Sus scrofa: one gene and its partner. The protein of the gene in region 1 binds, or shares a complex with, the protein of each later gene. Links are inferred from orthologs where the notes say so. Each region holds a gene or a part of one and is shown on either strand. Other genes may lie near its edges. The genes, in order: SMC2 and NCAPD3.

The links.
Region 2: the proteins of SMC2 (region 1) and NCAPD3 are in contact, whole or in part, in a cryo-EM structure (PDB 9F5W), measured with the Homo sapiens proteins. The link is inferred for Sus scrofa from reciprocal best matches to the Homo sapiens genes SMC2 and NCAPD3. Residues at the interface, in NP_001036015.1 of Homo sapiens: Arg112, Ala122, Asn123, Asn124, Thr125, Arg126, Leu218, Lys222, Arg225, His229, Trp940, Asn942, Ala943, Glu944, Phe948, Arg981, Met985, Arg986; in NP_056076.1 of Homo sapiens: Asp31, Met72, Ile80, Pro127, Gly128, Ala131, Phe135, Pro137, Asp141, Lys235, Gln237, Gln240, Leu1121, Asn1196, Asn1200, Pro1203.

What each region holds. Positions count from the first base shown.
Region 1 is NC_010443.5:245,416,052-245,419,873, reverse strand, and holds part of SMC2 (structural maintenance of chromosomes protein 2), read right to left. Parts: intron 2,250-3,822; coding exon 2,139-2,249; intron 1,944-2,138; coding exon 1,899-1,943; intron 574-1,898; coding exon 340-573; intron 123-339; coding exon 1-122. UniProt on the Homo sapiens protein: Central component of the condensin complex, a complex required for conversion of interphase chromatin into mitotic-like condense chromosomes.
Region 2 is NC_010451.4:60,733,154-60,736,975, reverse strand, and holds part of NCAPD3 (condensin-2 complex subunit D3), read left to right. Parts: intron 1-497; coding exon 498-612; intron 613-700; coding exon 701-811; intron 812-2,019; coding exon 2,020-2,258; intron 2,259-2,889; coding exon 2,890-2,969; intron 2,970-3,822.

The DNA of each region.
Region 1 (3,822 bases):
CGTTTGTTCTCTTCACTTGCCAGATTCTTCTTCTTGAGATCAAAGGCACTTTGAGATTTAGTATTAATTCGCTGAGCTTCTGCAAGAGCGTCTTCTAAAGATCGAAGTATACCTCCAGTTTCCTATAATCAAATAACCCAATTCAGTCATGTACTTAAAATATGTTCATATTATCACTTTCTTATATAATTTCTATATACTTACTTTTCATAAGCTATTTTATCATACTGTAAGATTAATAATCACTATAGAAGACAATACTAGTAAATCCTAAACATTGTATATAATTTAGTATTTTTTTCACAGAGTATATTATCTATTCTTACATATATGTCTGACCTTATCTTTTCTTTTTTCCAACTCTTCTATTTCATGACTAAGTGCTTTTATTTTTTTATCATTCTCAGACAGTTCTTCTTGAAGCTTTAGAATTTTATCTTGCATTTCTTTTAACTCCTCAGCTGAGCGTTCTTTGGTATCTTCAGCCAGCAAAAACTGATAAGCAATGTATAAATGACTCAAATGTTCTATTTCTCTCATTACTTTTTGGTACTCCAAATAGGAAGATCTTTCCTGAAAGAGAAAGCACCAATAAAGTATAACTCAAAATTCATGTTTCTAAACAAATTTAGAAAGAATCAAAATTGAGCCAAATGTACAAAATTTCCCATTACATGATATAGCAGGTCCTTTCTTAGATTGAGTGATCACGGATTATAAATTTTAGGAAACTTTAAATAATATTAGAACTTTGGCTTTTAAGGAAGCATACCATCTGAAGTGAATCCTATGTAGCTATTTCTTCTCACATATAATCAGGCAGTTGGGATTAACAAAGAAATGCGGACAAAAGGTTCACAGACTGGAGGTATTGAGAGATCTATATAAATACAATCTGCACAACCATGAACGATACACCATTAAATGTATTTTGTAGTAATATTACCAAGATGCCTACCCAAACATTCATTTATGTAACTACAAACATTTGGTTACACATTATCAAACTGAATTCTCATAGGACCTACTGGGGCAGACAAAATAACAATTAAAATCCCTAATTTGCAGATGAAGAAACAAATTAAAAGTGATTAAATGACCTCTCCGTATTGTCAGATTTGGAAAGAATTTGGCAAAATAAGGTATGACACCTAAGTTTAAACTCATAATCTAGCGTTTTCCAATAAATCATACATACTAAAGGCAGTACCTTCAAAGCCACAATTTTTCAGTTTTTCCAATAACATCTATGCTACTATATGGATTCAGAAGACAGTTTTGAGAAATATCAAATTTTTGTGAACATTTAATAAATTCCTAAATGTATAATTTTAAAACAATGCACTATAAATGCATTCTTTCACTGGAACACTGATTTTGATGTGAGAAGCTGCAAAGACTACAGAGAAAACATAGTTATCTGTTCCAGTACCTTTCACTTACCAACTGCCTGGACAGTGGTAACTGTAGCAGTAGCACCCCTTATTCTAGAGGTTATTCACTCTTTTTACTAAGAGTGCCATATCTTTCAAAAGTTTTTTAAAATTTTTGAAGTATAGTTGATTTACAAGAATGCCTATCTTTAAGAAATGCTATTCCACTCAATTCCAACTATCCAGGAAAATGGAGAGTTCTCTTCCACAAAAAACTAAATTCTGACACATCATCTTCTGAGATTATGAAGGGCAATGTACAAAACCATTATGACTTAACAGAAATGAAGTACACTGTTCTCTACAAGCAGAAGACTGAGTATGGAGTCCACCAACTCTAACTCATCCCTGTGAAAAACTCCTGAGAAGCGGTACACTTTCCATCCCTATGTATATGATCGTGGATACGTCACCAATTTTGAGACATATTCTGGCTGGATTTCCTCAAATATACAGTGTATATACCTCTTTTAATTTTTGAATGGTTGGAGTAATTTCTTCTTCAAGAATCTGGAAAATAAAGGAAAATCATATTTTTTAGTATGTGAAGTACCATTAAAGAAATTTAAAAGAAAGAAATAGAATAGAAGACTAAGGAAAATTGAACTGAGGGTGATGGAGGGTGGATTTCCCTCTTTACAGCAGAGAGATTCTAAATACAAAATTACACTCTTCTCTAAAAATATTTTATATAAATTTAATTACCGTCTTAATTTCTTTTAGCTTAGCCTCCTTTTTCTCTATTGTCTTCTGGGCAGCTATTTTTTTGTATTCATACATCCTAGTTCCAGCTGCTTCTTCTATCATGGACAAAATCTGTAAAGATACTTGTTTTAACGTTTTAAGAATCCAAGACAATGAGTTTCATTGGAATTTACATTAATGATATTATTTAGGGCCTTAACCTCACCAAGAATTTTAACAAAATTATGGACCATAAAAGTTAAGTATATAAATGTACATATTATCCATTAACCCTAACATTCAGGACATACTCCTGGCCTTCACTCCAATTTTAAAATCAAACTTTATGCTACATGAGGTTCCAGAGTACATCTCTTTTAAGACTGAAGCCAGTAATTCCTTCCTTCTCTTTTCCTTCAAATACAAGACTTAAAATTAAGGCTAACAATATTCATCTTTCATTTTACAAATCTCTACTTAGAATTGTTGTAAATAAGACTTCAGCCATTTTGTGCATACATGGATGAAGCATGGTCTAATATTTGCATTTGAACTGTGGCACATGCTTGGGCAAGGAACTTATTCTCTGTGCCCCAGTTTTTTCATCTGCAGAGTCCTGATACTATCTTATAACACTGTTGAGAAGTAAACAAAATAGTTCATGTGAGAAGTACTGTAAGAAAAGGAAGTAGTATTATTATTATAATTAATTTTATAAGGACAATTTTGCTAGCATTCCTTTTTCAGAAGCTTCTATTCACCATCAGTCCCTCTCCCAGGAGGATTATTTCTCTGAAAACCATTTTAATTCTATGTATTTGGAAAATAAGCATGAACAATGGTCAAACCAGACTAGTGTTACTGATTATCAGTCATCTTCTTAGTTTTATTCCATAGGAAAAAATACCAAAAGAGCCTTTGCTCTTGTTTAAAATGTTCATTCTTTCACACCAACTCTTCTCAAGGGAGCTCCAAGAGAAAATTAAGTCTTAATGTCCTGAGTAATCCACTGTATGGAATGAATTAATTTCACTCAGATCTTTTTCTGTAGGTTTAACTCCGACATGAACATCAGTTGAGAAAGGCTACTTTTTCTAGTCAAAAATTCTTTTAATATGGTATTGGGCATATAAAACTCCTAGAAGAAATTTAAAAAGGTAAGGTCTTTGACATCTGTCTTGGTGATGAATTCTTTGGATCTGACACCAAAACCAAAAATAAACAATGAGACTACATCAAAATAAAAAGCTTCTGCACAGCAAAGAAAATTGTTAACAAAATGAAAAGGCAACCTACTGAATGTGAAAAAGTATCTGTAAATCATATATATAAGGGGTTAATACCCAAACACACAAAGAACTCATACAACTCAATAGGAAAAAACCCTATGAAAAAAATGTGCAGTATGACATCTTCCCATAGAAGACATACAAATGGGCAATAAGTACATGATTAGATGCTTAATATCACTAATCATCAGGCAAGTACAAATCAAAATGACAATGAGATATCAACTGTTAGAATGGCTATTATCAAAAATATAAGAAATAAGTTTCGGTGAATATGTGAAGAAAAGGGAACCCTTGTGCACTATTGGTGAGATTGTAAATTGGTGCAGCCATTATGGGAAACAGCATGGAAGCTGCTCAAAAAATTAAAAATAGAACTACTAGGGCATCCCCCAATGTCTCAGTGGATATCAATC
Region 2 (3,822 bases), on another chromosome or scaffold:
GTCAGTGTGAGGTTTAGCATGCTTATGTAGTCATTGAACCTATTTATCTTACATATCAACATGAAAGGATGCTGATACTAAAGAATCACAGACTTCACCCTCATGTGATTGGTGAGTATGTGAGAAGAGCAAAGTGAAGCCCTGGAACTATGACTGTGACTTAGAAAAGAAAGTCAAACAAAATCAAGGACGGTATCTGCAGTTAGTGGCTGTTCTGTGTCCCCACTTACCTGAAAACACTGTGATTCACTTTATTGCGGTGCAGTTGTGAGCAGCACCCCTTTGACTGGAAGGAGTATCTAGACATAGATGATAAAACTGTATATCACCCTGATTTTGGATGAATTTTTACAATGGCCTTGTATTTTTATGGGGGGAAACAGTCATTTAATATGGGACAAAAAAAGGTACAAGTACTTCACTGACATGGCCTTAATCTTGCTAGAGTTCATTTTTCTCTTGCCTTATTCTTACTGCAGAACCAATTCTCTCTGCAGGTGAAGTACATTTTCACCTTAGGAGACGTAGCCCAGCTCTGTCCAGCTAGAGTGGACAAGAGAGCCTTCCTGCTGATCCAGTCCATCCTGGCTGCTTCTCCCAGCACGGACCACTGTAAGGCACCTGCCTACCCTTTGCACCTGCTGCCTGCAGGCTGGGTTAGCCCCCGGAGTAGAGCAGTAAACCTCCTTCCCTCCTACAGTGCCAGCCTCAGATCCAGGCGGCAGTGAGGCCACAGCCTCCCAACCCCTCCCAGGGATCCACAGCTCCATCATGCCCTCCGTGATCAGAGCACATGCCGTCATTGCCTTGGGTGAGTAAGGAGACCTGGGGCAGCCACCTCCACATGTGGTTTTGTCTTAAATAAGCCAGTGATTTAAAAAGCCCCTGAGCTCAGGAGGCAACTATAGAAGCACCCAGATCTGCAGTACACTCTCTATTTATTACCTTTAAACCTGTTCCTGTGACTTTTTTTATACTTGCAATAACACCCTGAGGCCTATTCATGAAGATCTGTATGCCAGGTACTGCACTGAGTTCTAGGAATGAAGAAATAAATTTGCAGGTCACTTTATAAAGAGATAGTCTGATGCTTTCCATGAATTCATATGGTTGTTTATCTTGAGAAGACTGACATCTATGCAATAATTTGAATTTTGATTTTTTTGGGGGGGAGGCTGTGCCCACAACATGCAGAAATTCTAGGGTCAGGGATCAAACCCATACCACAGCTGCAACCTGATCCACAGCAGACAATGCCTGATCCTTAACTTGCTGAGCCACCAGGAAACTCCTTCAATTTCTTGTGACTATATTTTATTCTTGGTATGAGTTACAAATCTTTTTGTAGTAATTTTTTTTTTCAAAAATCTAAGAATTGTAAATAAGAGGAAAACATTCCCCAGGCAATAAAAGAAAAAAAGGTGTGATAAATGACATGATTGTGTATTTGACTCACTCACATTTCAAGTTCATTCTTCAATTTCTTAGCTTCTATCAACTATAAGTATAATCTAAAGTAAAATGTGGAGTTGCCCATTGTGGCTCAGCAGGTTAAGAACCCAACATAGTGTCCATGAGAATGCAGGTTTGATCTCTGGCCTCGCTCAGTGGGTTAAAGATCTGCCATTGCTGTGGCTGTGGAGTAGGCCCCAGCTATAGCTCCAATTTGACCCCTAGCTCGAAACTTCCATATGCTGCAGGTGCAACCGTTAAAAAAAAAAAGAGAGAGATGTAAAATGTATCATGGGTTTTATCGGTCATTTTCCAGGTAATTAGCTCCAAAACTCAAGCGCTGGTGACTTTACTGCAGTAAAGGAACATCTCAGAGTGTCCATCTCAGGACACCCTGGGTTGGGCAGGTGGTATTTTGAACTTCTTACTGTTTTGTTTGAGTTATGTCTGCCTTTGATTTTTTGTGATTGTCGATGTTTTGACTTTGATGAAATAATATCCAAAGCAGGTTACAGCTGGAGAGAAGGCATAGAATAAAGAATCAGGGTATCCCTCTCTTGGTGGCAGGAAAGCTGTGCTTACAGCATGAGGATCTCGCCAAGAGGAGCATCCCAGCCCTGGTGCGTGAGCTGGAGGTGTGCAGCGACATGGCCGTCCGCAACAACGTCGTCATCACCATGTGTGATCTCTGCAAGCGGTACACGGCCATGGTGGACAAGTACATCCCCAACATCTCTGCGTGTCTGAAGGACTCAGAGCCGTTCATCCGCAGGCAGACGCTGCTCTTGCTCACTGACCTGCTGCAGGTGCGCAGGTGGTCTTGCCCCCACCGGCCTGCTCCTGGCCCAGGGGTACCTGGGCAGCGCCGAAGGTGGCTGTGTAGTAGAGTCACAGGAGCCTCAACTGCACTTTCAGATACCACTCTTCCAGTGTTCTGAACAGACTTTTAAGTAGATTCTTACTTCCTAATATTCCTTTTGGGTGTTTGTTCAGAGACCCAGTCTTGCAGGGTGAAATGGTATTTTTACAAATACTCAGCACATAGAGAAAAGTTTACATAGACAAGTAGGTCTAGTTCCCATTCTTTGAAGGGTCCGTGTTCCCAGATGGAACATCATCATTTGTACAGTGAGGACCCTTACCCTTGCCCCGGCATCCCCAAAGACATGCTCTGAGAGCCTGGGAGATGTGTCCACATGAGGGGAAATACTATTTGATCAGAAGGTATTTAAGTGATTTGTGTCTGTTCTGGGCCCTCACTGTCTCCTATGGTGTGCACATCACAAGGGTGCCTCTGACCCTCTTCCTGCAGGGCAGGAGCTCTGAGTCCTTTTCTCCCACAGCCCTGTGCTCTTGGGGTGGGTGGGGTGAGTGCAGATGGCCCTGGAAACAGAGGGGCTGCATGTTGAAGCCCCCATGATGCCTTCTCTCATGCAGGAGGACTTCGTGAAGTGGAAGGGCCCCCTGTTCTTCCGGTTTGTCAGCACACTGGTAGACCCAGACTTGGCTATTGCCAGGTAAGCCTTTTCCCTTATGCCAGACAGCCCAGCAATTGGCCTAATTTCTGGCAAAGATCTCTTTTCTTTAAAAGCGAGTTGTTTATGTACGATTTAGTGATTTTTAAAATACTAAGCTATATAATAAAGCTTTAGTTTGCTTGTAAGTTTAAAAAGAAAAAAGCCTGGTAGTTCCTGTGATGGCTCAGCGGTTAATGAACCCAACTAGCATTGATGAGGACGTAGGTTCGATCCTTGGCCTTGCTCAGTGGGTTAAAGATCTGGCGTTACCATGAGCTGTGGTGTAGGTCGCAGACGTGGCTCAGATCCCATGTTGCTGTGGCTGTGGCATAGGCTGTCAGCTTCAGCTCCGATTAGACCCCTAGCCTGGGAACCTCCATATGCTGCAGGTGCAGCCCTAAAAAGACAAAGAAAAAGGAAAAAAAAGCCCTCGCCCAGGTCAACCATTGACTAACCTGCCACTGACCACATTTGTCGACACTTCTGCTCCTTCACACGGAGCAATGAAGAGCAGTGTTTGCCTTTGGTCACCTGTCAGAGCAGAAGCCAGCCAGTGTTAGCAGGAGTTCAGACTTCCCTCCAAGTGCAGAAACTGCAAGAAGAACTCGGAATTAAGACAGGATCGCTTTGTGTGAAATAAGAGTGTACGGTTTACAAAGTTCCTTGGAAATGGCTGTTTCCTGAGAATTGGAAGGCAAGGGGGTTGCTTTCCCCCTTGTTAATTCATCTCCTGTCATTTTCTTAAAATGTTTATTTTTAAGGAGTTGAGAAATAATCTCACAGAATCTGCTAACCTCAGTTGTGTTGTATGAGTAATTCTTTTTTTTTTAATTTTTTATTTATTATTATTTTT